5 linked regions of the Coturnix japonica genome follow. The protein of the gene in region 1 interacts with the protein of each later gene in a pairwise test. Links are inferred from orthologs where the notes say so. Each region holds a gene or a part of one and is shown in the gene's direction. Other genes may lie near its edges. The genes, in order: HMG20A, HPCAL1, DTNB, RPP30 and BRAP.

What was found.
Region 2: the proteins of HMG20A (region 1) and HPCAL1 interact in binary tests that used the Homo sapiens proteins (3 or more experiments, as listed by UniProt). The two-hybrid records come from large-scale screens. The link is inferred for Coturnix japonica from reciprocal best matches to the Homo sapiens genes HMG20A and HPCAL1.
Region 3: the proteins of HMG20A (region 1) and DTNB interact in binary tests that used the Homo sapiens proteins (3 or more experiments, as listed by UniProt). The two-hybrid records come from large-scale screens. The link is inferred for Coturnix japonica from reciprocal best matches to the Homo sapiens genes HMG20A and DTNB.
Region 4: the proteins of HMG20A (region 1) and RPP30 interact in binary tests that used the Homo sapiens proteins (3 or more experiments, as listed by UniProt). The two-hybrid records come from large-scale screens. The link is inferred for Coturnix japonica from reciprocal best matches to the Homo sapiens genes HMG20A and RPP30.
Region 5: the proteins of HMG20A (region 1) and BRAP interact in a two-hybrid assay, tested with the Homo sapiens proteins (2 studies listed by BioGRID and IntAct). The link is inferred for Coturnix japonica from reciprocal best matches to the Homo sapiens genes HMG20A and BRAP.

Annotation. Positions count from the first base shown.
Region 1 is NC_029525.1:2,278,840-2,284,640, reverse strand, and holds the start of HMG20A (high mobility group protein 20A), read left to right. Parts: upstream 1-2,354; 5' UTR 2,355-2,481; intron 2,482-3,040; 5' UTR 3,041-3,150; intron 3,151-5,801. UniProt on the Homo sapiens protein: Plays a role in neuronal differentiation as chromatin-associated protein. Acts as inhibitor of HMG20B. Overcomes the repressive effects of the neuronal silencer REST and induces the activation of neuronal-specific genes.
Region 2 is NC_029518.1:88,236,388-88,241,971, forward strand, and holds the start of HPCAL1 (hippocalcin-like protein 1), read left to right. Parts: upstream 1-2,317; 5' UTR 2,318-2,549; intron 2,550-5,584. UniProt on the Homo sapiens protein: May be involved in the calcium-dependent regulation of rhodopsin phosphorylation.
Region 3 is NC_029518.1:95,641,903-95,647,469, reverse strand, and holds the start of DTNB (dystrobrevin beta), read left to right. Parts: upstream 1-1,921; 5' UTR 1,922-1,980; exon of another isoform or gene 1,981-2,044; intron 2,045-2,370; 5' UTR 2,371-2,439; intron 2,440-3,982; exon of another isoform or gene 3,983-4,001; intron 4,002-5,567.
Region 4 is NC_029521.1:17,046,640-17,052,222, forward strand, and holds the start of RPP30 (ribonuclease P protein subunit p30), read left to right. Parts: upstream 1-2,271; 5' UTR 2,272-2,557; coding exon 2,558-2,639; intron 2,640-3,410; coding exon 3,411-3,466; intron 3,467-3,773; coding exon 3,774-3,830; intron 3,831-4,105; coding exon 4,106-4,180; intron 4,181-4,720; coding exon 4,721-4,792; intron 4,793-5,583. UniProt on the Homo sapiens protein: Component of ribonuclease P, a ribonucleoprotein complex that generates mature tRNA molecules by cleaving their 5'-ends. Also a component of the MRP ribonuclease complex, which cleaves pre-rRNA sequences.
Region 5 is NC_029530.1:5,362,611-5,368,316, reverse strand, and holds the start of BRAP (BRCA1-associated protein), read left to right. Parts: upstream 1-1,830; 5' UTR 1,831-1,940; coding exon 1,941-2,022; intron 2,023-2,107; coding exon 2,108-2,266; intron 2,267-2,453; coding exon 2,454-2,652; intron 2,653-2,954; coding exon 2,955-3,144; intron 3,145-4,455; coding exon 4,456-4,569; intron 4,570-5,015; coding exon 5,016-5,164; intron 5,165-5,706. UniProt on the Homo sapiens protein: Negatively regulates MAP kinase activation by limiting the formation of Raf/MEK complexes probably by inactivation of the KSR1 scaffold protein.

The DNA of each region.
Region 1 (5,801 bases):
TCCATTCAGGAAAGGACACTTTGAGGCTCAGAACCACCCCTGTTAAAAGGATTGATGGAAACATTATAAGTGTAACCATGAATCTCCCCCCATCTGCACTCCTACAGAGCCTCCATCAAGAACCACAGCAGCCCAGATGTGCCGGAGCACCGAGGAGATGGCCTTTATCTGCTAAATGTTGTGTTTATTGCAGCATATTCTAAACCAGCAGCATCCTTATAAAGGAAGGATGTCACCTCTTAGCAGCACACTGACCTCAGACAAGGTGTTATCAAAACAAGCACTGCAGAAGCCCACAGCGTGAGGCCTGATATCGCTTTTATCTGTTTATTTACTGTGTGATTCCAAGAGCCTTACAATGTGCACCTCTGAAACCAGCAGTGAGGGCAGCAGGATGGCTTTGCTTACCTTCTTATTGCTGCTGCAACTGATGCAAAAGCACCCCTGTTACAGCACTACGTTTGCTGGGTGCATCTCTTAAGTATCTGTGTGCCTGGCATCATCATCTGCCACCCCAATACCTGTTGCTCACAGAATGGTCTGGCTTGGAAGGCACCTTTAAGATCACCCAGTTCCATCCCCTGCTGTAGGCAGGGGCAACTCTCAGCACAGGTTGCTCATAGCAGGCTACCATGCTAAACCACAACTTACTGGAACAGCAGCTCAAGGTACTGAACAACTGATTGGCACTGCTAGCATGTAAAAGCAAGAGCTCCATCCTTGTCACTGACACCCCACAAACAGCAAAGCTCTCGCCTCCTTCTCCACTTCCACAGCCTCGTTCCGCTTCGCAGCCTGTATTTTTCCACTCTAAACTTCAAATGACAGCAACACATTGTTGTGCTGCTACCATATGAAACAGCAGAACGTAAATCCCAGTGCTGTGCCAGCCCTGTGGGGACACACACCTCTCCCCCCCATGTTACCTGATGGGGCTGTGGAGTGAATGTGGCCGCACTGATGGCTCCTGGCTGCTGCCGTCAGCCATGAGATGCCACACGTGGCTTGTAGTTAACTTGACATTACCTCTTTGAACTTCACTTTAACTAATAAACCAGCCTGTGACTTACTGATTGCCGCTGTTCTACCGCGAGCAGGTTACAAACACCTGGATCTATCTCAGCAATAGCAGCATGAGAACAGTCTTGTTTCCCTGGCCAAGCATTCTCTTTCCACACCGCACATGCTTATGACGGCAGCACGGCAGCTCACACCTCCACACCACACGTTGGGCCACGACCCCGGCTGCAGTGCAGGGGGGGACACTGTGATCCCAGCAGCTGATCCCAGGCCTGGGGAGAGGCAGGTCCGACAGGAACACGATGTAAAAGGGAAACGGCCGCTGGGGTGAACCCAGCCCCAAAGCGGGTTAGTGCCAGACGTCAGTAGGAGGAAGAAAGCAGCGAGTGGGGAAACTGCCCTTCTGTTCTGAGCGCAGGATAAAGGGACACAACAGGAAAAAGGAAAAGGAAAGGAGAGAGCCGGGAGCGCTAACCCGGGAACGAGGCAGGGGAGGCACGATCCGACCTGTTGTTCCGCACATCTCACACCGGGGCCGCATGGGCCGAGCCGGCGGGGCGTCCCGGTGCGGGGCAGAGGAGCCAGGGATGGAGGCGGGATGGAGGCAGCGCAGCCCGGAACAAAAGGCACCGACCGCCGCCGCCCGGACACAACTTCGCCCCGATCGCGGAGCGGAGCTGAGCTGAGCTGAGCTGAGCGCCCCGCACCTCACCTCACCACCCCGCCCCGCCGCCCCCCGCCCCAGCCGGCGCCGCTCTCCCGCACCTCCCTCCTCACCCCCCCCCACGCGTCCCCCTCTCGGGGCCCCGCCGAGCAAACCCGACCCGTTGGCTTCCCCCGGCCGAGGGGCGGCCCGGCCCCGCGCACCTCACGGTGACTCCGTCCCCGCGGCGCCTCCCGGCCGCGCGCAGCTCCGTGTTCGTGCGGGCGGTGCCGCGCCGGGTCCCGCTCCGGGCAGCGCGCGCCGCGCCCGCAACAAGCACCGAGTCCGGGCGCCGCGCGGACACGCCCCGCGCGCGCTGAGGGGCGGGGCGACCCCGCCCACCCCGGCAGCCCATTGGTTGGGGAGGGGAGAGGGGGCGGGGCCAGGCCGAGGGCGCGCGCCGGGATCGTCGAGAGGGAAGACTACGCATCCCGGCGTGCACCGCGCGGTGCGGCTCCCGGCTTTAAAGCAGAATGCCAAAGGTAATGGTGTCCTTCCGCCCGCGCGGAAAAAGTAGTCCCGGGGTGTAGTTTGGCCTCCTGCTCTGAGGCGGTGGAAAGGGAAGGGGACGGGGCAGGAAGCGCTGCTGGGGTCGGCTGTTGCGCTTCCAGCCCGGGTTCCCTTTGGGGCCTCTCCGGGTAGAGCTGTGGTGAGGGGCGGAGGGATCCGCGCCGGTGGAGGCGCGGTGATGCGGCTCTGTGAGGGACGCGGCGGCGGCGGGGCCGAGGGGACGCTCAGTGCCGGGCCGAGCCCCGCAGGTCAGTGCAGCGGGACGGGCCCGCTCTGCCCGCTCACCGCACGGGGCGGCCCGGGGCGCTGTGTGGAGCCGGGGGCGGCGTGACGGGACCGGCCGGCACGGCCTGCACGCGCCTTCGGGCCTGCCGACGGCTGCGGCTCGCGTGGGGCTGAGCGCTCGGCGCGTGTCTTCGTGCTCATCGCGTCTGTTGTTGGTGATCACACGGCGGTTCCCCGCGGCTCCATCGTTCTCATTACCCGTTACGTTATTGCATCCCTCAGTAGTCCCTTATGGAGCGGGGTGCTCGGCCTGCTGCCCTCCAGTTCTGTTAAAATAGAGAAACTACAGTGTGTGACTTAACTCCACTGTTCCCAGTATAAATCTAGTCTTTCTATTCTACCTGCATGTGTTGAGGTCCGTAGCTGACAGGTGCCTGTTCTGTGGGTGAGGGTGAGCCCCGTTTCCAAAGGAATGCTGTAGCTACAGTGCGGCCTTCAGCTCTACATGTGTCAGACTGTGACTTACACAAACTCCTGTGCTTTGCAGGGTTTCTAAACGCCTTCCATCTTCTGTTCTTGCAGGACACGTTCCCTCGGTGGCCACGGCTGTGTCTGATGGCGAGGGCTGCACAGAGAGCTGACGTGTGCTGAGCTGCCCAGAGCTCCCGGTCTGCTGAGTGGAAGCAGTGAGGGTGAGCTGAGTTACTGCTCTATACTCACCTGGCAGAGTCACTCCTCCCGTCCCGCTGTAAGCTGGTACAGGTTGCTGCACTGTTGCTCCTCATCCTGCCCTCCCCAGGCTGTGGCTGGAGGATCTTTACTCCCTCCCACCTGAAGCATGTGTGGAACTGTGCTGGTTTTTGTAGCACTGAGGCATACGAGGCATATCTTTTTCTTCCTTTAATTCTTAAAGCAGCTGAAGCTGTCTGATAATTCTGTCTCGTTCTGGTTTTTATTCCTCTGGTGTTGAATGCAGATGAATTGTAGGCAGTTCAGTGCTGTCATGGGTGAAGCCTGCTCTCGTTCCATTGGTGTCTTCAAGTTCATATCTTTAGTTATTCCGTGGTATCCAAGGGATTGTTTGTGGCCAAAAGAAACTTGTGATAATGTATTAATAATCACCTTTCAAAATAAGTCATCTGCAGTATTTGTTAGGACTTATGGGTGTTGATGTGCCTGGTTTGGGCTCTGTATTGTTCTGAAGGAGCCAGAGCCAATGAGTCTTAGCTGCTTTAATGAGATGGGTTCTCGGTGTTAAATGAATGGTGGTCAATAGAGTTAGCTCTGTTTTGTGGTTCCTCTATGGATAACTCGCATGGAATTAGCTGGTGTTTTTGTGGATTATTTAGTTTGGAGTTTACTTGGTTGCAGTTTGAAAGCCATGGGGGGCCATTGTTATTTGTTGATCCAAAGCTGGATTTGATTGTGTGAAATGAAGAGCATCCCACAGTAGTGCTCAGGAGACGTGGTGTCTGGCGTCACGATTGGGAAAGTCAAGTGTCAGTCTCCATAGCTGGGGGAGCAGAGGAGAGAAAGAGCTGTGACACAACAGGTTCTGGTAATAGCATGGGAATATACAACAGAAAAACAGCATCAAGCCAAGTATTGGAAACAGTAAACTGTGAATCTTCTTTCACGCTTCTAACTCTGGAGTTTGCTAACATTGCATTTCTGCTATGGAGGTGGGTGGGGAAGCGTTCCCAGCATGGGGTGAACGGTGCACCAAGGTAGGAGGAAGTTTGTGTATTAAATATGTTTTAGTGGTGCTTTTAAATACTACTACAAACCTTTTTCCTTGGTGCAGTGGTTCTTTTCTACTTCCCCACAGCCTATTGTTCTTTAAGAACACACATCTCCTTGTATTTGTTTTCACATATCCAGGGTGTTGGCAAGGACATCTGCTGCTGCCAAAAGGGTGGAAATTCAGGAATTAATCTAGGAAGATATTCCATGTGAAGCTACCACTGCATTGGATGCATGAGTGTTTTGGAGTCTCAAGGTTTAGAGACTATTTTTAAGTGCTCTTAAGTTCTTCTGTAGGGTGGGTATTGTCTGGCTGAAATAGAGCTGAGACAACCAGTATTTGCCTTTATCCTCTCTTTCACTACATGGGAATGAATTTGTCTCTATTCTTATGCTCAGTTTAATTAAGGTAGAAAAGTAAGTATTATGCAATTCATATGAGATATGAAGAAGCAATGTCATAGATTGTTTTCTAACAAGCTCTTGTTAGAAAAATAATCAGAATCCGGGGGATTTCGAGCTCTCTATTTCCAGACTCGTGGGAAAGAATCTCATCTTTCATTAGCAGAATAAATGTTTAGCTTGACATCAGAAAGAAAAAAAACTGAAAACGTCAAGTCAGCTTATGAGATAATCCTAATTCTTTTTCTGGTATTCAGATTTCCTTCCACTTATGGCTATTTTAGGGCCCTCAGTTACTGGAATCGTTTCCAGTGTTCTTCATTTTTGACATCGCTTGAGTTGTAGGGGGATAGAAGCTGAATCTCAGGCCACGGAGTTAGAAATGTAGGTCAGTATTGGCAGTGCTACTTGTATCCTTCCTTCCCTGCCAGCTGCTGTGCTTACTTCATGCTTTGCTGAACCATTTCACCTTGTGTCAACTAAAAACATCAACACAAAGCTATTGTTTCTTTAGCATGCTGATACACAGACATTGTCTAATGACCAGAGCTCTGCCCATCTGAAGATGCTGTGGTTGAAGTAGCTGGTAGTTCAATAGGTTTGGGCTAGTCTCTCCTATGGCAGTGGAAAACTGCTGTTTGGTCCTTCTAGGCCTGGTTTCTCTTCACTTGGGCAGGTGATCTCAAAGCACTCAATAACAGGCTGCTAACAAGGAGAGTCCAACTAGCAAGAACTGTTGGTGTCTGGGGGTGGCTCATGTAAATTCATACGAGTGTTTACCATTGGTAGAAATGGGAGGTTTCATATGCACTCCTTATTTTTATAGGCTCTGGTGTTTGAGCTCTCTGAGTCTTTACAGCTATGTAGCTGAGATGGTAGAAGATACCCAGCTTCAGTTCTTTCCTGCTCTCCCAAAGGAAAGAGTTGCAGGGTTAGAAAAACTGTAAGTTTATCAAATCACAGCCTGATCAGAGTTCATTGATAAACGTTCTTAGCTTATGGGGTCTGGCATACAAAAGCAGAACAAAATGCAGCTGACTGCTACAATGGGTAGCTGTACAAGGTCACTGTGTTACAGTCAATCCTTACAACGGGTCTCAGTAACCATAAGGTAACATTTCTTTTAAGGTAAGTTACTTGTGTGATTTCATTGCCAATTAAGAACAACTTGCTTTCAGTCCTAAAGCCATTCCTCAGG
Region 2 (5,584 bases), on another chromosome or scaffold:
GGAGCACTGATGGATGAGATTGATGCCTGCAACAACCTGAGCCCCAGCATCTGGTAGCAAAAATTGTGAGGCTCAATAGATGGGCCCTGTCTGCAATGGAACCAAGTCCTGGCTCTTGGAGCTCCCATCTGGCCTGAAAATGGCTGGAGCAGTCAGCTGCCTTCAGGGAGGGAGCTCTGGGTCCCATCACAGCTATCAGGAGATCCAGAGGGAAGGAGCATTGTGAGTTTTAAATCCCTGGCAACAGTTCCCTCTGATAGTTTTTGGGTAGAGGTAAGAGGAATTGAAATCCCCAGGAACACAAAGGGCTCCAGGTCTGGCTGATGAACTGCTCAAAAAAGGGTAAATATTGCTTTAACACCTCCCCAGAATTAATCACACCAAAACCCAGCAAGGCGGGTAATAACTGGAGATTAGCAATAGCCTTAATGCTGCCACCAGAGCTCATGTTATTATGGCAGATATTTAAAGAATAGCAGTGTGCCACACATCTAGACTTTCATCTCCACCAAATCCCTTGGTGATTAAGCACCGGACAGCAGAAGGAATTTCTCAGGGTAATTTCAGATTCAGCAGAGCTGGAATGATCCAGATGAATCTAATTCAATCCCTCATTGTTTCTGTCTTCTGATTATAGAAACAGAATGAAAAGCAGAAAGAAAATCAACCGAAAGGATGCCAGTACAGCTATGGCACCATGGTCGGTAAAGACCCACATTAGGTGAGCACAGGGTTACTAGACTGGCTTAATAAACAAGGGGAAATGGTTTTAAACTTAAAGAGAGATTTACATTGGATTTAATAGAGGAAGTTTTGTACAGTGAGGGTGGTGAGGCACTGGCACAGGTTGCCCAGAGGGGTGGGGGATGTCCCATCCCTGGAGACACCCAAGGCCAGGCTGGATGGGGCACTTCTCAAAGTAGTTAGGCATCCAAATGAAGACTGTGAGGATGGGGAAGGATCTGGAGGGCCATGTGTGTGAGGAGCAGCTGACAGTGGGGCAAAGGGCTGTCACTGCCTGTGCAACTGCCTGCCCCAAATGAGCCACAGCCCCAGCACCTGGCATTGCTCACATAGGGTGTGCAGGGAAACAGAGGGGATTACTCATGTGTAACCACCCCCCGCGAGGAGGAGCGGGCTGCAGGCGTGTGAAGTTGGCAGTGACGGTGCTTGCATCTAGTTTTCCATTCTGTGTTCCTGTTTCGAGTCGCTTCTAGTTTTAACAGCACAGGTTCGCCAGCTTCCCAGCTTGTTTTTTGCCTTGGGCCGACCTTTATGTGTATAAACATATAGGTCATTTTTTAAGTCGGCAAAATGGTTCGAGCTGCTCTGAAAGGGGCTGGAGAAATGGGTTACTGCAGAGCAACACTTTCAGCTTTGCATCAGTAGTTACAACGTATTCCAGCTTTGCATCAATAGTTACAACGTATTCCAGCTTTGCCTTAGAGGTGAAATGTGGCTTTTTTTTCCTTCTATTTTTGTTTCTTAATTCAGTTTTCTGCCCTCACAGTACGGAGATAAGCTCTGAAAACCTGCATTTCGGAGGCTTTTTGTGCCTCCCAAGGTTTGTTGCTGAAATCTCTCCAGATCTTTTGTTCCTGGTGTGGCCCTGATTTCAGCTCTGCTCGGTTCTTATCTCGTGCGCTCGCCTGGACTCCTATGAAGGAAGGCAGAGTGAAAGCTGCCGATAAGGCACAACGGGAACGGCGTTCAATTCTCTATACGTTCCTGACTTGAAAGCGCGCCGGGCAGGAGCTAAGGGAAAAACAGAAATCCTAAAGGAAGGATTCATCCCCCGTGCGCTCTGCAGGCCGTAGCTCTTAGCAAGGCTTCCCATGACCTCCCTCGAGAAGCAGCTTAGCACTGAGCCCTCAATCCCCTCCATTTTGTGGCAGGGTGCGCTGTGCGGGCGGCTGTCCCCGGCCAGAGGCAGCGCACCCGTAGGGATCCACCTGCACGGGCACGGATGGGGAGGGGAGGGGCGGTGGGTACGTGCTGGCTGCGGTGGCAGAACTCGTTGTAGGGCCTGCAGCTGAGAGCTTCCTTGTTTGCACTGGGGTTAGAAGAAAAAAAAATAAAAATAAAAAAAAATAAAAAGGAGAAAAAAAAAAGGAAGAAAAAAAAAAGATAAAATATATTAAAAATAATTTTTTAAAAAAAGAAGAGGGAATTAAAAAAGCAAAAAACCAAAGAGATCAACTTTTCCCCGCCGCCCCGCACTTCCTGCCCCGCGGCGGCCGGGCGATACCAAGTGGCTGCGGGCTGTTGGGCGGCCCCGTCGGGGCGCGGCGCTGCGCAGTGCTGCGGGATCCGGCTCCGCTCCGCCCCCCGGCGCCGCCGCTGCCCCGCGGGGAAGTTGCGCTCCGTGCCTCGCTTTCCCGCTCGCTCCCTCGGCGGCGGCTCTTTCCTCCCCCTCCCTCCAATGCGCCTCCCGCTCATTTCCTCTTTTCCTCTCCTCTCGCCGCCGCTCCGCAGGCGTGCGGCTCGCCCGGGCTCCGCCGCGGAGTTGTAGCTGCCGGGAGGCCGCCGCGGGACCGCTCCGCAGCCGGGTGAGGGGCGGCGGGATGCGGGCGGCTCGGGGGGCGGCGGGGGGCAGCGCCGGGGATGCTACGGGGTGGAGGTGCGCGGTGCCGGGAAGAACGGACGCGGGGATCCGTGCGTTCCGCGTGCGTTAAGGGGGATCTTGGAGCCGGCGAAGTTCGCTCCGCACGAGTGGCGTTCGGGGAGTCGGCTCCCCGAAATCTTACTTCCTATTGCCGTCTCTCGAACCGGCCCTGGCTGAACGCTGGCTCCGCTTCGGTCGCCCCTCCCCCGGGGCCGTTCAGCGGCCCGATGTCCGCTCGGTGCCCCGCACCGGGAACGGGGGGGAGCGGCGGCCGCAGCGGGCGGGGAAGTTTGGGCTTAGTTTGGGAGAAGGCGGCTGTGTAGTTTGTGTGCGTATGAGAAAACGGCGGCTTTATTTCCGCAGGAATAATGCTAGGCGAGCGCTGGAGCTGCAGGCTGTACCGTAGTCCCGTTCACAAATATAAATGTGGCAGAGAGACGGAGTTTTCTTTGCGGGGAAAACAAACGGAGGAGGCAATAATTCCGTCCCCGACACGTTTTCTCAATGGGAGCCGTTTGTTGTGGCTGTGGGTTCAAACGCTCCCGGCTCCTCTCGGCACAGCCCGGCGGCCGTTCGGGCAGCAGCCGCCCTGGGTGGTGCCGGGGATGCTGCGTGTGCCTGCACGGGGACCGCATCGCCGCCGGTGCTGAGCCCCGGGGCCCTTCCCCGCACGCGAGCGGATCGCACGGCAGCTGCGAGCCTCGGCTGTCATTAGGGAAAGGCACTTTGTGCTCATCTCTGCCTACGCGAGATGGGGAGATGCCGGCCGGCAGCGCTGCTTCTCTGCCACACCTGCCTTCTTCTTGCCTTCAGTGTGATGGTTATGTCTGGCTTAAAGTGGAGGAAACTGTGTAGGGGAGGGAAAAACAAGAACCGCTCGCCTCTTTAGAATGGATGTCGCAATGCTGGCAGCAGAACTCGTGTGCTGTCAGCTATCCCGGTGAAAAAAGCGCTTTTTGTTGGCGCTGCTTCATCTTCTTGGGGAGCAGTGCTGGGTGGGGAGAGCTGTGCCAGCTGCAGAGGCTTTCTATGTTACAGCTGGATGCAGGGCTGGCATTGGGCATAAGGGACGGGCACAGGCAGCTGGTTTGGGCTGAGCAAGTCAGCTTAGGGACTGTGGCTCTGCAGAAGAAAAAAAAAACCATAAAAACAAAACCCAAAGAAATCCGACATGATCTGTGATTCGGAATGGTTGCGATTCAAAAAGATTCGTGCAGCATCATTTGTTGTATTTTTGAAGCCGTGCAAATAGTTTTTGATGTATTGATTACCTTGATTTGAGAGGGATGGGAATGCTGGTAGACGAAGTGGGCAGTCTGAGTTGGAATTCTCTATAGTGTAGGGATTTTTCTTGCTTTTGGTGATACGAGACTGTGAGGAATGAGACTGTGCTCTGTGTGTGTGTGAGATGCACTGATGCTCGTGGGAAGGGGATCTCTCGCTTGCAGAGCTGCTGCTCCTTCCTTCAAACCTGACTCCTAGGACAGCTTCAGTAACAAATGCTATACGTTTTCCAGCGAGTGGAACAAAAACTGACCATTTCTTTTCTGAAATGAGCTCTTTCCCTTGTTCCTCCTGTGCTTTCCATAGTGGTTGTATGTGGGATCGGTTTCTTGTGGAAATCCAGTGCCAATGGCTGGGAGACCCATAGGATGGGCTGCGCAATGAACGATACATTACCTTGCGCTGTCTGTGCTACAATTAGAAGGCAGGAGCCTGGAGGCTGCATCCAGCTCGTAATGTGAGAAAGACTGCACGTCTCCTGGGCTGCATCGCACAACATGTGCCACTGGCAGTAAGAGATGCTGCTTGTAACTAGGGGGTTCAGGTGAATAACCTGTCCAACCCAACCAGCTTTTCTCTTCTCTTGCGCTCTCAAATGTCTTTCCTGATGACTGAACTACCTGTATTGAGCAATGCAATCTACTTGGTATCTGTCTGGCAAAAAAGCAGAACCAAAAGCTGGGCACAGCTATAGTTACGTACAGCTAATGCATCCTCCTTTGAGACCTGCCAGTTTTGTTGATGACATCTACAATCACTGCTAGGATTTCAGTGGCTGTGATCTTAACCTCATCAGAAAGGTGTCTGGCTGATGGTAAACCTTCAAAACTCCAGCTGGGTTGGAAGGTTTGGCTGGTAGGGACAGCTGGAGACCTCAAGGGCAGGAGGCTGAGTCCCAAGAGGCTGCTTTGGCCTCAGAGATGCTTGCTAGAAATGAGGCATACCGAGATCCTGATGCTTGTGCCAGGAGGGTTGGCTAAGCTGAAGCAGCTGGCTTTGCAATTAGATTGAATTTCTGTTTCAGACAATGTGTTTATCGTAAGGAATTAACCAGCGTGCTAGTCAGAGTGGCAGAGGTGTTTGTTTCCAGTTCTCCAACCATGCAGAGTACGAGCATTGGGATGCGAGTGTGCACACGTGTGTGCTGGTATGCAAATACCAAACGTGTGTTTTGAAGGAATAATGAACCTTGCTCCTGGCTATCCCCACTCTGCCCACTGACCACATCCATCAGTGCCACGTTTTCTTGTTCCTTGAACACCTCCACTGACAGTGACCCCACAGCCTCCCTGTGCAGCCTGTGCTGCTGCCTCACCGCTCCTTCTGAGAAGAAATATTTCCTAATATCCAACCTGAACCACCTCTGGCACAACACGAGCCCATTGCCTCTCATCCTATCACTGTTACCTGGGTGAAGAGGCTGGCCCCCACCTCGCCACAGTCTCCTTTCAGCAGGTGATAGATGGTGTAGCTTGGGCATGGGCTTGGAAAACAGATCTTTCTGATGCTTGGGAACTGGTACGTGGCTCCTGCAACATCATTTTACATAGGCGAGGGTGGCTGTGGTGGGAGGCAAGAAAAAAGCCTACTAGGGGCCACGCCTTCTGTTTTTCTAATTCACCTCTGTGAATGTGCCTTGCACAGAATAGATGCTTTTTGCTGTGCTGAGATAGCAGGATTTTCTTCTAGGCTTCT
Region 3 (5,567 bases), on another chromosome or scaffold:
CTTCTTTGGTACTCAGCTGCTCGTCTGAAAAACACCTACCTTCAGAATTTAAAGTTCTTCAGTTACAACGTCAAGCAAAATGGGACAGCAAATGTGTTACTCCGGTGTCTTGGTGAGGCCACTCTCAACCTAACCTTTTGCTCATGCTTCTTTTGGGCTGATCTCATTACAGCCAAGTGAGTTTAGACTCAGAGCCTTCCGACTTGTGAACACCGGGCACTTGAGGTTGTGAGAGCTCAAGGGCGTGAATGTGTAACTGCGGAAGAGCAGTTGTTGTAATGGCGAAGGATAGAGCAAAAACATGCTATGCCAGAAGGGATGAAAATGGCAAAATACCAGAGGTGGAAATATCTCCTTCTCTGGAGATATTCAAGACCTGCCTGGACACCTACCTGTGCAACCTGGTGTAGGGAACTTGCTTTGGCAGGGGGGTTGGACTCGATGATCTCTGGAGGTCCCTTCCAACCCCTACAATTCTGTGTGAAAAGCAGTCAGTCATACGAAGGAGATGTTTTTGGTGATCTGAGAGATTCCTTCCAGTCTGACATTTCTAATCACTCCATGAACCACGTCACATTTGGAGATGCCGTATGAAGGAGGGTCCGGCTCACCCGCTGTCACAACGCAGTGAGCTCAGACAAGCGATGGTTGTGTAAGCTTCATGCTCTGGCTCTTCAATGTGCCATCAAGAGCTCCCCTTGGAGCAGCCAATTCTGCACAAATCTCTCCTGTTGTAAGACCAGACCTGAGGTGGTGCTGTCCTCCTGCACTTCACCTTTCCGACAGCCAGCGGCTCCAATCTGCGCCATATTTTGCACCATTCATCACTGAGGAGAGGTTTGTCCTTGGAATGACTTTGCTGCCTCAGTGCTGGTGAGACCTCACAGCTGGGGAGCTCGGGCTGCTCCCTTTCCTTGGGTCTCTGTGGTTTCTTTGTGGTTCTTTTAGTATTCTTGCATCACTATGGGAAAAGAAAGAAAAAGAACACAGGCACATGAAAACCCATACACAGCCTGTTGGAAAATATCTCCTTTTACTTCAGATTAATTGAAAAATACACTGAGTTATTCCAAGTCCTCCACTTCTCCCTACAACACCTAACCAACCCCAAGGCTTTATTTTTCTGCTTTTATTTCTTCTTCCCTGCTGCTAAATTTGGGTTTGCCGTCTCCCTTCACACTTACCGAGACCCTTTGCTGACCTCCCCCTGAAGCTGGGCCAAACCACAGCTCTTTAAATGGCAGCTGTGCTGAAGCTGAGTCCCAGGAGGTGTTTTGCTCTTGTAATTCCATTCAGATGCGGATGGCTCCAATGCAGTGGGGGCACAGGGCAGGCAGCAGCGCTGGATGAGAAGAGGTAGAATTGTTTTACACAGCATCCCAGTTGGGTAAAAGGAAAACATAACAGTGGGCTGAATTAAAGTGTTACTGAGAGAGAACTCAAAGAGGGGAGGTTGAGGTTGGATGTCAGGGGGAAGTTATTTACTGTGAGAGCGATGAGGTGCTGGAACAGCTGCTCAATGAGGCTGTGGATGCTCCGTCCATCCTTGAGGGTGTTCATGGCCAGGTTGGATGTGGCCCTGAGCAGCCTGGGCTGGTATTAGATGTGGAGGGGGTTGAAGCTTCACTACCGCCATCTCGACGTCCCCTCATCGCCCTGAGGAGAGGCGCTGACCGCCCACTGCGCCTGCGCAGGAGACGGGAGCGCGCGAAGCCCCGCCGGCTGTTGATTGGCTGGAGAGCACGAGCGCTCCCGAGGAGGGGCGGGGCGAGCTCACGCACGTCCGCCGCCGGAGAAGCGTCCGCTCGCCGATTGGCTGTGGAGGTGAGGAGGCGGGGCGAGGCACGAGGGCTCGCTCAGCCATTGGCTCTCGGAGGCAGAGGGCGGGGTGGGATTGGCCGGAGGGTGCGCGCCCCCGCGGAGACGCTTTGCGATTGGCTGCGCGCCGTGAGGCGGCCGGGGACCGTTGGAGTGGGGACGGTGAGGCGGAGCGGCGGTGGATGCGGCCCGGGCGGAGCGGGGCGGGGCGGCCAACACGGTTATGGTGTGTGGGGGCTGCGGGCATCAATGGGACCGGTCGGATTGTCTATGTATTGGGCTGCGCTAATAGCGGCGGGCTCCGAGAGCCGAGAAACGGGGAGGGCGGCGTGGGGCTGAGGAAGGAGACCCGTCCCAAGCTCGGTGCTGGGAGTGCTGGGCCCTCCAGGCCGTGACATGGGCAGCCCGTCCGTGTACCGACGTGGAGCCTCCCGCTAAGGGTGCAGCATGAAGTTGGGTCTTAGCTTGAGCTGAACGGGGCCGATAACCGGCTGTTTGTCATAGTGGCTCTTTCTTTTTTTTTCTTTTCTCGTGTGGTTGGTTGTTTTTCAGGTCGTCCTTCGATGTTGGCAGAAGGAGTTGAGGTGGCTGCTGCCCTGAGAGGCTCCGTGTGCCATCCAGGTAATGTGGCATCCAGGTAACTGTGGCTGGGCTGATGTGCACGGAGCTAAACAGGCTGTGTCTGTGGGTTCATGGTCAACAGAGCATCCTTAGGGTTGGAAGGGAACCTTAAAGACCACCTGTCCCACTGAGCAGGGACACACAGCTCCATCAGTGCTCACAGCCCATCCAGCCTGACCTTGGCTGTGTGCAGGGATATCCAGCACCTCTCTAGGCAACCTGATGGACCTGGAGAGCCATAGTGCTATATATGTATATGTCATAGTGGTGAGGCTGGTCTCTTTTCAGTAGTGCGTGGGGATAGGACTAGGGGTAATGGGATGAAAGTACAACATAGGAAGTTCCTTTATACAGTGAGGGTGACGGAGCACTGGAACAGGCTGCACAGGGAGGTGGTGGAGTCTCCTTCTCTGGAGATATTTAAGACTCGCCTGGACGCCTACCTGTGTGACATGGTGTAGGGAGCTGCTTTGGCAGGGGGGTTGGACTCGATGATCTCTAGAGGTCCCTTCCAACCCCTACAATTCTGTGATTCTGTGCAGCGCTCCTCTTATTCATAAGTGATTGTTAAGCCCTAGATAGGCTGGGGAGCCCTTTGCCAATGGTTTGTGTGCTGCTTGAGAACGCTCTGATAACACTCGAGCCACTGCCTTGAGTTTGGTCATCAGCTGTGCAGTGCTGCTCTTTAAAAACGCTTTGTACTTTCAGTTTTCTTATTCACGTTCCTGAAACTGAGTGTGCAGTGCGTCAGCTTCCTTGTTCTGCTGTTGGCTGCTGTGGCTTTCCAGGCAAAAAAAAAAAAAAAGAAGTTAAAATTCTCATTTCCACGTTGGGAAATGTGAGAAACGTTGGCCTGAAGAATTACTTGGGTTGGTTTTTATTTGTCCTCCTGCCTTTCATTGGTAAGTGTGTGTGATCCTGTACTGCCAGCTGATATTACAAAGTGCACTCGAAGGAATAGAGGTAACCCAGAATTGTCTGTTTGAGGCTGTTGCTTTCTGTGTTTCCAAAGGATATTTTAGATTAGTGGAGAGTTTGGGTAAAAGGGTGTTGTTGCTGACAAGCAACTGGAGAAGATGGAAAGAATTAATTGCTGTAGGGCAGTTCCAGCTTAGCCCTCTCGTTCGTCACATTATTTGTCAGTACCAGCATAAATAACAGTTGTGAGTGGTATAGAAAGCAGCCTGCTTTTCTTAGCCTTATCACTGCTGCTCTTTAACTTTGTGCTTTTGGGGTGGTGAGATTTGGTGATAAGGACTTAAATTTGTAACATTTATGTTGAGTTATGTTTCGGGTTTTTCTCTCAGTGCCAAAGTGGAGAAATCATGATTGTAAGGTGCACATTTGGTTTAGTGTTTAGATAGGCTCCTGCTGATAACTTGTGCCTAAGCTTAGCTTCGTGGCTCTCTTGCAGTCATGGAATGAATCATAGAATGGCCTGGGTTGAAAAGGACCACAGTGATCATCCAGTTCCCCCTGCTGTGTGCAGGGTCACCAACCATCAGACCAGGCTGCCCAGAGCCACATCCAGCCTGGCCTTGAATGCCTGCAGGGAAGGAAAGGTGCTGTATCATATCTGTGTGCTTTTTACAAAACCTTCTTTAGAAGCAGCTCCTGATCCACTGTGTTTAAAAGAAAATTAACAAACACAAGGGAAAGCCCCCAAAATGTAAAAGCAACACCAAAAAAACGCTAACTTGTGACTTTGCAATGTAATTCAATACAGGCTTGGTCTTGATCTGGAGTTTCTTGATGATGCTCTTTTAAACTGCCATTCATTATGGCTTGTGAAGTTCTTAAGCAAACATTGGAGCTTTGTTTGGGATCCGTAGAACCGGGAGGTGTATGCGGTTCCTCATGGATGCTCTGTTGTCAGGTTGGTGTAGATATTGAGGTAACATATCAAAGCATTCTTAATACTTCTGTGCACCATTACTTATGCTTTAATTAATTCCATTTAGGGTTGGGAACTGAGTCTGAAATTGTAGTTGAACTAGAAGAATGATCAGAATTGTGTAAAATATGCTTTGAAAGAAGGCGTTGGTGGTCTGTTAGTGTGAGTGGCTCTTCTTTTTCTGTCCTTGGGTTTCCATTGAATGGTTTGGGTTGGAAGGGACATTAAACCTGTTAAATGTATGCCCATGAAATAACTACTAGAGCTCTTCCTTTTTCCTGGTAAGAGGTGTAGTGAAGTAAAGAATCATAGAATTAATTACAGAATGGCCTGGGTTGAAAAGGACCACAATGATCATCTGATTTCAGCCCCCCTGTTATGTGCAGGGTCACCAACCAGCAGCCCAGGCTGCCCAGAGCCACATCCAGCCTGGCCTTGAATGCCTGCAGGGATGGGGCATCCACAGCCTCCTTGGGCAACCTGTACCCAACTTTTAATGGATTTCTTTTAATGGAGTACTTTTGGTGGAGTACTTTTAATCGTTTACATGCATTCATGTCATAAGCAGTGCCTGATAGTGGTTATCAGATCTTCAGGGTATCAGAGCTTTTTTTGGAGGATGTCTCACGAGTGGAATTACAACATAAAACCAAATGGAGTATTTGAAAAACAACCCCAAAACAAGAGGAAAAAAGCAGCACGTCCCTTTGATAGCTCAGAAGCTGATTTATTTAGTCCCTAAATTAAAGTAATTAGGAAGCAGTGAGGCAACAGCTGAAGTTGCAGATACGGAACCAGGATGACAGCATTTCAGGCTATGATTTATAACATGGCAGGAGATGCCTGTGGTGGTGCTTGGGGAAGAACAGATGGTGCGATTTGGGATGGTGGCTGTGGTTGGGGCAAGAGCAAGGACTGTGGCTTTAGCTGGAGTTGGATCCATGGGCTCCTCCCACTGATAGAATCACGTAGAATGGCCTGGGTTGAAAAGGACTACAGTGACCATCTGGTTCCAACCCCCTGCTGTGTGCAGGGTTGCCAACCAGCACACCAGGCTGCCCAGAGCCACATCCAGCCTGGCCTTGAATGCCTGCAGGGATGGGGCATCCATAGAATAAGGCAGTGCCATTTGTCTGGGCCGTTACCTACAGCTGATGAGCTCCAAGAAGAGCGAAACCTTGTAAAATAGGTCCTGTAGTATTGGCCTGATGTGCTCCTTCTGTGCTTGAGCTGT
Region 4 (5,583 bases), on another chromosome or scaffold:
CTAGCAAAGATGTTGCAGCTGCAGTTTCTTTTCTGTCTTTTCTTGCCTTTGTGAAAATAAATCATCCCCACTCTGTGGCAGTGAAATAGAGAGGTTACCATTCACATCTTTGGCGTTTCTTATCATCATCAAAATAAATAGTCGCACCTGTGCAAGCTAAATAAATGGGAAGTGATGTCTTCCCTTTTTTTGAACCAGCAAATATGAGCAGCAAGCTGTCAGCTGAAAAGAGAAAAAAACAATTACAATGAAATTTATTCTAGAAATTCTTGATCACTCTGAAAAACAGTTCTCAGCCTGTTTCAGCCTACAGCTTTATGAAGGAAACTGTGAAGGTTATGATTAAAGTGACCATTGAGATTCAAGCTACTGAGTTGCTGAGATAGGTGGTGCCAAATATCTTTAGCTCCCTAAAATGCTAAAGGCAGAACTGAAGCCAAAGAGACATATACACATATATATCTGACAGCTGCTACCCTGAGTTGCCCACTGGAGGTACATTAGAGGAATATCACTTCATAAGACCTGAAAAGGTCTTCCCTAAAATTTAAATGTGGCATGAAAAATGTTCCTCGAGGGTAGAAAAATTGGCCGCACTAGGAGGACTTCAGGACACGGGAGAAACAAAGCACACTCAAAGTCTGTGACTGACAGTGAGAACCACAGCTATGTTTTAAGTAGATCACTGGGTCTGGCCTAAACAAAAATGTCAACATCCAAGTGGTTGATGGGGGAAATAAGGTTGCACACTGGTCTGCGTAAGTAATTGATGATATGTGATGCTGGGAGGGCCATCACAGAAATAGGGTTCTGAAGGATGATCTGTTTAAGTACTCTCCATTTTAAGTGCCTCGAGAAAAGGTTTGTTTTGCTTGTCTGTTGCCTAAAAAAAAAAAAAAGCTGCTTAATCTTGTTTAATGTCTCTGAACATTAGTCCAAAAGAGATGTTCAGAAATAATTGATACATATTTATGGATTTCTTCTCACATTTATTCAGACAAATTAAATCAAGTTCCATCATACACTGTCAAAAAAACCAAACAAACAAAGAAAACAAAAAAAACACTTGAAATAATGCTTTGAGTTCTCCCATGTCCACACACTTCACAGAAAAGCCTTAAGAAGACCATTTGATTTGGGCTGTGTGTTCAGATATTTGGCAGAGAAGCAGCACTGGCTATTCCAATAGGAAACATGTTAAGGGCACAGATAGGCCAAAGCAGAATTTGCTGAAACATAGGAAACGTAGGAGGAAGGAACATCTTCCAGGGAGACCTGGATAGGCTTGAAAAATGGACCCACAAAAACCTAGTGAGGTTCAGCACAGCCAAATTCAAGGTGTTGTATTTGAGCTGGGGCAACCCCAGACATTCAGACTGGGAGAAAAACTCACTGAGAGCAGCCCTGCTGAGGAAGACTTGGAGACTTGATGGACAAAAAGTTGGATATGAGCCAGCAGTGTGCACTTGCAGCCCATAGAGCAACTGTATTCTGGGCTGCATCAACAGAGGGGTGGCAGCATGAAGAGGGAGGTGACTGTTTCACTCTGTACTGTCCTTGTGAGCCCCCACCTGGAGCACAGTGTCCAAGCCTGGGGCTCCCAGCACAGGAGTGATATGGAGCTGTTGTGATGGGTCACAAGGATGGCCACGAAGGTGCTCAGAGAGCTGGAGTACTTCCCTGGAGATAGGTTTGTTCAATCTGGGGAAGGCACCAGGGAGATCTCGTTGCAGCCTTTCTGTGTTTAAAGGGAGCTTATAAACTCTTCGGCCTCAGTGTGCCAAGGAGCAGTGCTGTGGGCAGGGACGTGCCTGGGAGCTGTGGGCATTGCTGGAGCAATTCTGCCTGGTTAAGGGTTTAGCATTCCAAATAACCCACTGAACCTCCAGGCTCAAGGAAGTGGAAGCAGAGGGCTTGTGAGGCCTCCCAATACCACCTTGATGATGTGAAGAAATCACAGCCTTGCTTGTTTTAGCAGCTGCTGTAACTGTCCCAAACAGCAACAAAAGTGGTCATTACCACCTGTATTTCACATATGTGCTGATTAGCAGCAATAAAATGGGTGGGTTTTTCAACAGTGCTACAGAGTCAAAGCATGTTTGATTTGTGGTCTCCTGGAATTGTTCATCTCTTTTGCATTTTAGGGAATATCTCTAGAGAAGCTGGGACTAATCAACCTAGGATTTTATTTCACATTTTTTAGTTAACGCAGGAAAACGATGGCCTTAACTAGGAACGGTTCCACCCCCCCTCGGGCCATACAGTAGCTGCGCTCGGTGGGAGGCGATCCGGCCGCTAAGAGGAGCAGAAGCGCATCTCCCCCTGCTGGGCAGCGCACACACCCCGAGCTCCCGACTGCTCCGCTCGCAGCACAGCCCCCCACGGACACGTTCAGGAGCGCATAAAAGCTCGCACGCTCCATCACCCAGAGCTCCGCCTGCTGGTCCAGAGCCCATCCCGCTCCTCGTAGCAGGACTACCAGCCCCAGGTTGCTCCGGGCCGCCGGGGGCGGTGCCGGCTGCGCTCACAGCCTTCGTTCCGCCCCGTGCTGCGCAGCATGGCCGGCTTCGCCGATCTGAACGTCCCGCAGGGCGCGGATAGGAAGGCCGTGCAGAGCGTGCTGGAGGCTGCGGCGAACCGTGAGTCGGGGCTGGGAGCGGGTGGATGTGTTGTTGAGGATGGGGTGGCTGTGCTGGAAGGCGGCGCTGGCTGAGGGCTGCAGCAGCGGCGTGAAGGATGGAGAAGCGGGGCTGGACGGGGCGGAAGCTCCATGCGCCGGTCCTGCCCTGCCCAGCGAGGGCACGGGGTCTGTGCTGTGCCTGAACAGCGCTGTTATTATCTCCGGTTACTCTCCAACCTCTGCAGAGAACTTGTTCCAGGGTTACTGATCTTCAGCACAGGCTTTATGGCTTTCTCTAGTCCTGTCCACCACGGCAGTCTTTCTGTTTGTATCACCCTTCAATCGTGGTCACATCTCCCCTCATAATGCATCTTCCAGTCCGCTGCTGCAAGGCGCAGCCTTCGTGTCGATGCAGAGCCGGGACCTGGCAGCCTGTGGCTTACCCCACTACCCCAGGCTCACAGCCACACCTCAGCCTGCCCTGCTGTACCCATTAGGTAACCGTGCATCTCTGTGCGTACCCCAGCACTGGCCGTGCACAGTCCCTTGTCCTTGTTACTGTCAGTCAGTGAGGATGTGTTGTAAAGGCTGGCTTGTGCTAAAAGAAAAAATTGTACTCTTAAGACACATCTTTGAGTTAACATTGAGCAAAATTCACTGTGAAAGGTAAATGTGCACATCGTTATTGATTTTGAGATATTTAAATAATGAGCATGTGACAGTTTTCTCCTTGTGTCTGTTTCCATTACTTGCTGATCAAAGCAGGCTCACAATGTGTTTTCTTTTTTAGTGGGATATTCTGCAGTTGCTCTTAATCACGTCATCGATTTTAAAGAAAAGAAACAGGTAATTTCAGTTCAGCTTCTTTGTTGGTGATGTGTTTGCTCTCGTAAATCTCTGTGCCACTCCTCTATCCTTTGTTTTTACGCACTCACCTAAATGAAGGCATTTGTATTTATATTTATAACAGAACTCTGATTTTATAAGCCTGTATTACTGCCCTGGAGTTAATTTTTACTATGGTCTGTGAATTGTCCTTAGGAAATATTTTGTTAGTATGTTAAGCTTATTTTTGGAGTTGGAACACAACTTCTGTGTACATTCTAAACATCCCTGTTGTATTTTGGATAACTTTGTTTTGTTTTCTTTTAAGGAAATAGCCAAGCCGGTGTCTCCATCAGAGCTGTTTCCATCTTTGCCTATTGTGCAGGTGTGTTTATTACGTTCCATCTATGTGTTGTTACACTGAGCTGCAATTTTTCCTTTCAGTTTATCCACTCCTCAGAGAAACACAGTGAGCCCTTCTTTCTGAAGGGCAGTTACAATATATATGTTTTATATTAGGGAAGCATAACTACAGACTTCCAGAAAATTATTATAGGCAAGAATTGGTGCAAGGCACAACTTTCTTTTTATAGTAGGCAGGGTGAAGGTTGCCACAAAGTTTGTCAGCTTTTAAAATCTTATATTATTTTTCCATCATAGGGGACATCTAAAAGACTTAAAGTCTTAACCCGGCTGACACTTGTTGTTTCTGATCCTTCCCACTGTAATCTCTTGGTAAGTACATTCAGTGTATCTGCTTGTTTGTTTGTTTGTTTTAATTTAATTTTCTCAACGAAAGAATGACACTTTGGGAGTTGTGTATTGGATTTAATGGATTTCATAGGATACTCAGTACTGATTTCTCAGACCAGATCTTTAGAATCTGAAGCATCATGACCCCTCACGCAAGTGTCTGTGAAACAGAACGTGATTGTGCTGATCGCTTATTAGTATGGGGTAGCAGTTCTGTTCCTTTATTCTTTTATTTGAATTCTGGACTTCCATGTGTACACTAGAATACCAGGAGGGAGACCAGTGTGTGTTTGTGGAGCTGTGTGCTTGAGACAAAAGGTATGTGAGTGGATGGGACAAGCCTCAAAATGACCTCAGAGAATTGCTCACAGTAGAGACCTACTATTTAATTAGATTATCGTCTTTGTTTTGGTGCTTGAAAATGGTGAGGAAATTTTCTCATTATTATTTTGGTTATAATCATTGTGTGTATGCTTGTCACCTGCCAGAAGTCAAGGTAGTAATTATTTCCTCCTTTTGTAGAGATCTACATCTGCAAATATAAGATTGTATGACATCATAGCTGTATTTCCAAAGACGGAGAAATTGTTCCATGTAAGTACTATCTGTGAGTTGTCATAGAGCTGGCACTAACCATCAGTGTCTTGGAGTGCTTTGAGTGCATGCTTTGTTTTGTTTTCCATTCTATATAGCCATGTCATGGGGCTAATTAAACAATGTAGGTTCTCTGGTCAGCAGCAGGCAGACTAAAAGATTGGGAGAAATCCTAGAAGGGTAAAGGGCCTTGATGTGATCAGTTGGTCCTAAACGTCTGCAAGTGGTCTGACTGACTTGCTTTCAAATGCTCAGCTCAACTTCTTGTCAAAATGCTTTCATTGCAAAATGGGGGGAGAAAAAGTGGCACATCTGACCATCTCAGGAAGCTCCTGAGTCGTATCATTAAGAGTGAATTGGAAGAGTTGGTAGAGGTGATCTGTCTGTATTGCCCTTGGCAGACAGCAAGCTGATGTGCAATTTGAAGAATGCACTGTGTCACGGAGTTATCTAGATCAATCTATGTCTGTGATGGGGGGCAGTAGGCCTGTGGGCTCTCCCTCCAGCCCCAAGAATGGAAAGAAAAAAGGGAAAGGGGTAGGGAGATGGGAGTTGGGCTCAAGGAGATAAACAGAGCAGCAGCAACAATCTAAGGAGGAGAACTTATTTTACTAATTATGATATCGGAATGCAACATAACACAATATAGTATGATCTAATTGAAATTGGGGCTAATAAATCAAGTGAAATAAGAGAGAGAGGTTTCTGAAGACCAAGAAGCCTACTTTAAAATTGAAGGTGCCACAACTTGGAAGCACACCCACACTTACTGCCAGGCAGTGTGAGAGAGA
Region 5 (5,706 bases), on another chromosome or scaffold:
TTATAAGTAGGGAAGAAAATAGTGGCTGGGTAGGTAGGCTGTCTGATCATCTTATCTTGCTCTCCTACTTCCCTTGGCAGCAGGGACAGTGAATCTCCCACCTAAATTGCACAGACCAAAGAAATGGGTGTTTGCAGATCACTGATTCTACAGAAGCAGCGAAGCTAAAGGCTGATTTTGGGAAAGAGAAATGCACCTGCAATGGAATCAAGGCAGGCTGGAGATAAGCATGGGAGAACCATTTAACAGGCAGGGAATGAATCTGCATTTTAGACTCAGCTGATTCAAAAAGACTGCATTAAAAAGAGGATTCTGACATGATGTTCCTGGAGCTGGCAAACAAAAGCTATGGTGGAAGGGCTTCCACTGGTCTGAAGAAGACACCTCTGAAACCACCATCTCCACTCACTGAGCACATCTGTGCACCAAATAGCAGCAAATGCCTTTCAGCTGCTCTCTGATTTGTGCTCCGTGGTATCAGAAAGTTATGAAATACAGAAGCTGGTGAAAGTGAAGGCATATTCTGCTCACTATCCTGCCTTGGCAGCAGAATGATAACAGCAATGAGCTGCCAGCCCTGGTGAGATGGCAACGCTTCCTTGATGGTAAACCCAAAAGCTTCCCACACTGCAGGATCCCATTTCCCTGCAGTCAAGAAGCACAAAGAGAGGGATGGGGAAGTGGCTTACAATCTCAAAGCACTGCTGTCCCAACTCCTGCAGAAATTCAATAGTTGTCAGCTCTCCTCTTGTGTACTTGACAGAGGGACTGTTTGCCCCTCCAGAGAGCAGAGCTTGTTGGATGGTGCCGGCTGGAATACAACTCTGGGCCTCCCAGTCTATATGAAAGGAAGAAAGCCAGGAGAGAGCACACATGGTATCATCAGAACTGGGAAACAAGACTGAAATTCCTCTACAGCTCTGAACTCTGCTGTGTAAGACCTGTGCTCGTGAGAGCTGGTGTGATGGGCCTCGTCTTTACTTTTTGTGTGATGTCCTTTGGTGTGAAAGCAGCAAGTTGGGAGTCCTGCAGGGCAGTTGTACCCCAGCTGTGGTTGGGCCCTGACCTGCAGATGTTAAATGTCAACACAGCTGTCAGTTCTATCACTTCTGACGGTGTAATTGGGAATGCTGGGCAGCAGCATCACCGCATCTGTGTGGAGGTGCCACCCAATGGAGGTGTCTTATGGAGACCTGAAAGGCATTTTGTATATGGGAAGCTGGAGCACAGGAGGGGCGGCCATACACACCTGCGGCTGTATGCTGTGGGGCTGGCAGCAGCACTCCGCTCACATTGAAGATCACAGCCCTGTAGGGGCTCCAGCCCGACTGTGTCCGTACCAGCCCCGCGGACAGCAGGATCCTGGAGCAGCGCAGGAACGGGGCACGGGCAGCACTGCTCAGGTACATGGTGGGACTGAAGGGAAAACAGCATGAAACACACACAGCACAGCGTGTGGCTTATGGCGAGTGCTGCATGGCCACACACTGCACTGAGACCCCTCTGGGGTGAAGGAGAGGCCCTGAATGGTGAGATAGGGGAGCAGGGAATGCTTAGGGAGCATTGCAGCTGGAGGGAGCAGGGCCTGCTCCTGGGCCCATAGCCGCGCTATAGCAGACAGGGCCCCAGCTGTGCTGACGTCCCGCAGTGACACAACGTCCCCCCACCCCCCTCTGCACACACGAGCCCTACGGGCCCCAACGAGCCTTGTCAGGCGGCGCAAGTCTCGCGAGAACTCACAGCCCAGTCTCGCGAGGAGCAGCCGAGCCCACTCCGACCCCCTCCCTCGGCTCCTTCCGGCTCGTTCCGCCGTTCCGTGACGTCATCACGTCGGCGCCGTGACCCGGTCGGGGTGAGGGTTCAGAGGTGCTGGAGGCGGAAGCGCCGCTGGCTGCGGGTCGGGCCGTGTCGCAGCGCGGCGGGTCCCGCGGTCCGGGCCCATGAGCGTGTCGCTGGTCGTGATCCGCATGGAGCTGGCCGAGCCGTCCCCGCTGCCCGCCGGCTTCTCCTACAGCGCGGCCGGTGAGTCGCTGCCCCCGGGGCCGGCGCTGTGCTGCCGTTGTGCTGCCGCTGTCCCCGCCTTAACGCCGTCTCTCCTCCCCCGCAGCTCCGGAGATGGACGCCGAGAGCAGCGGGACGGTCCCGGCCTGTTTGGAGGGGAAGGGACCCGGTGAGAGGGCGGCCATCCTGCACCAGCACCTGGGCCGCAGGGAGATGACCGACATCATCATCGAGACCATCCGGCCGCGGGCGGCAACCGGCACCGGTGAGTGCGGCCCGTTTTAACGGGAGCACGAGGGAACCCTTCCATCCACTGCCCTGGTTGCAGCGTTGATAGCAGCACATATTGGATCTGTGGCACTACAGAGCTCTGAGCTCAGTGCTGTTCTGTGCTTTGAGAACTGTAGATGTTTCTCATGTGTGGTCAATAATCAAAGCTTTTGTTTGGAAAGGTGAAGCAAAAGCTGCCGTGGAAGGGAGAAAATCCTGCGAGGCTGCGGCTGAGGACAGAACCAAACAGGATGAGCAGAACAAAGAGCGAGAGGCTGCTCCAGACTCGCCTTCCAAACAGCTCCCTGACCAGATTTCCTTCTTCAGCGGGAATCCATCAGTTGAAATAGTTCATGGCATTATGCACCTGTACAAAACAAAGTAAGAATGTCTGACTAATTGTAGCTGTGATGGGAACGGGTCACCCAGCAGGGTGAGGTGTCACCCTGGGGCTGCGGCTCCTGCAGGGACAAACAGGAAGGGTGGGTCACACCCACGGTGCCACCAGCCATGGGGAAAACATGGAGCCTGGGTTTGGGTCTGATGGCTGTGGGCAGCACTTACAGGCAGTGTGAATGCCAAGGAGTGTGAGGACATCAGTGTGGGTTCCTAACAGTGCAGTTGGGAGTGTGATGTACCGAGCTTTGTCCTCTATGTGATGCGATGTACCTGCTGTCTTACAGCAAGATGACCTCCTTAAAAGAAGACGTGAGGCGCAGTGCCATGCTGTGCATCCTCACGGTCCCCGCCACCATGACCAGTCACGACCTGATGAAGTTTGTGGCTTCCTTCTATGAAGTCATTGAGCACATGAAGATCATCCGAGACTCCACTCCCAACCAGTACATGGTGCTGATCAAGTTTAGCTCCCAGGTAAGAGCTGGAAGTCCCTTTGACATAGAGGACACTGCAATCTGTGTGGGGGGCAGCCCTTTCTTGTTGCCCAGCACTTTCCTGGGGCTCCTGACTGAGGCTTGTCCTGCAGACAAGCACGTGTCGTGTTCTGTGCCCCTTATTTCTTGTTGGTAGGATATTTAAAACTATTAAGCACGTGGAGACAAACCACCTCTACTACCTCAGAGCGTGTTTGCAGGCAGAGTTGTGTTGTGCTTTGCTGAGCAGAAAGAATGCAGCCAGTGGCACTTTATATGTTAGTAAACTTCTCTGAGGAGTTACTGCCAGTCCAGCCTGCCCCAAAACAGGGAGCCTGGGGGTGAATGGGTCACTGGATAACACAGGGTGCTGCTTACAGGTATCCCCTGCTATGACCTAGGTGGACTCTCTGCTGGATCTTCCTTTCTGGGGATCTGAGAGGAGTTTTGGTCAGCTCTTTCCCCAGCTGTGGGTGCTGCATAAGATGTTTTCCATGGCTGTGGTGTAGATGCAGTATTTGAATGCAGTTTGTGCTATCTGCAGCAGTTGCAGATGTGTGTTTTGCATACTGCTGTATAGGATGTAATGGGTAAATACCCAGTGCCTCGCATCAAAACCTGTAGTCAGTTCACCCTGAAATCGCAGTTACTTCAGAAACTTCCTGAAGGCCTGTTCCTCAGTGACCCCTAATGGCTGCCTCTGTGTACAGCAGAAGCAAATCTCGTGTGCCTTTGTGTACCTGGCTCGAGTGATTAGGAGCAGAGGAACGTGGTGCTGAGCTCGGTGTGATCCTCTAATGAAAGGGAGGAGGTCGCTGGGTGCAAATGGGTGACACATCTGATAGATTTTATTTTGGTTTTACCTCTTTGCTGGTGACTCCCACAGACAGTTCAGCACATCTGAATTGTGCAGTGGATCCTTTCCCACATTAAATGGGTCTTATCCTATTGACACAAGTATCGGTGTCCTGTAATGTGACCCTCTGGAGTTTTGGCAGAGAAACCAAGTTTGCTTTGCAAATAACGCTGGAGTTGCTGACAAGAAGCAGAATGGGTGCTAAAGGGAAGTCAGTTATACTCAGATATCAGAGTAACCATCCCTGCTGCCAGCTTTGCTTCTCATCTTCAAGTGGTAGCACCAAGCTCTGTGCCAAGGTGCGATGCCTGCTGGCAGGAGCTGAAACTTCTCCTCTGTTATTGTGGGACCTGGTGGAGGGAAGCAGCAGGGATACAGCAGATTTCTCCTCCTCCTCCCTGCCTGTGTCAGCTGCGGGCTTTTTATTTCAACAGCCTTCCCTTGTTTTATGCGCAGGCTGATGCAGACAGCTTTTACATGGCGTGCAATGGTCGGCAGTTCAACTCCATAGAGGAGGATGTTTGCCAGCTCGTGTACGTGGAGAGGGCTGAAGTCTTCAAATCGGAAGATGTAAGTGTTTATTTTGGTTTCCCTTCTGCTGGATTTCAGCCAGGTCTAACAGTTTATTTCTGAGCAGAACGCTGCAGGAAGTGTTAAACTGTATCAATCTGAAACCCATTTTCTGTTCCGGTGTTGTTTCTACATGGAAAGGTTTGTTTGGTGATCTTTGTGGGCTTCAATCTCATTGTTGCAGTGATCCAGAAAACATCATGGGGCTGTGGCAGCTGCAGCATCCACCTCACCCTGTGCTGAAATGGGTTTGTGCTCAGTTGAAGGCTGTGGTTTGCTTTTTATCTTGGTGAATTTGTAACCACTGCATAGACTTGCAGGATGACTGTGTAGTGTTTCTGTACCTTAGTGCTGGTGGTAATGAGAAGTTTGACTTTCTGTGCAGGTGTTTGATTTATGGTCATTGGAGGGTGCTGAGCAATTTGTCTCTGCTTGTTCTTTTGAAGGGGGCCAGTTTGCCTGTGATGGATCTGACAGAGCTCCCAAAGTGCACCGTGTGCCTGGAGAGGATGGATGAGTCTGTGAACGGGATTCTTACCACTCTGTGTAACCACAGCTTTCATAGCCAGTGTCTGCAGCGGTGGGAGGACACCACGTAAGAGGCTTTTCTTTATTTCCACATCAAAAACTCTGTTCTGAGTGTGGTGGTTCTATGCTGACAGGACCGGTTTTGCTCATCATAGTGTGGGGGCAGGAAGTACCGCAAGTCTTAATACTCTTTCTTTCCTATTAAGAGACTTGCAGGGAGGATTCTCTTAGCCAAAAGTCATTGAGCAGTGTTTCCCATAGGCCTCACTGCTAAGACAGCAGGGCAGCTGCACAGTAATGCAAACCATGTCCAAGTGTTGTATTTTAAAAGGACAGGGACAAATGGTGTTGTGTGCACACAGAGTCCTGTTTCGCAGTCTTGTGTATCTACTTGGTTGTTAGTGTCCTTGGCCAAGCTGTGGCTGTGCTGTAGGTAGATGTGCACAGCTGGCTAAAGTCCTTTTGGAAATGCTTTCCTTTTTGTGCTGCTGCAAATCCTTTCCTGGTTCCATCCTTCACATCCCTGTAGATGGGATTTCAGCATGTGTGAGCTCCTGACTGGTACCCAGGTACACAGCTTACATTGCTCTGGGTGCTGTTTTACTGCAC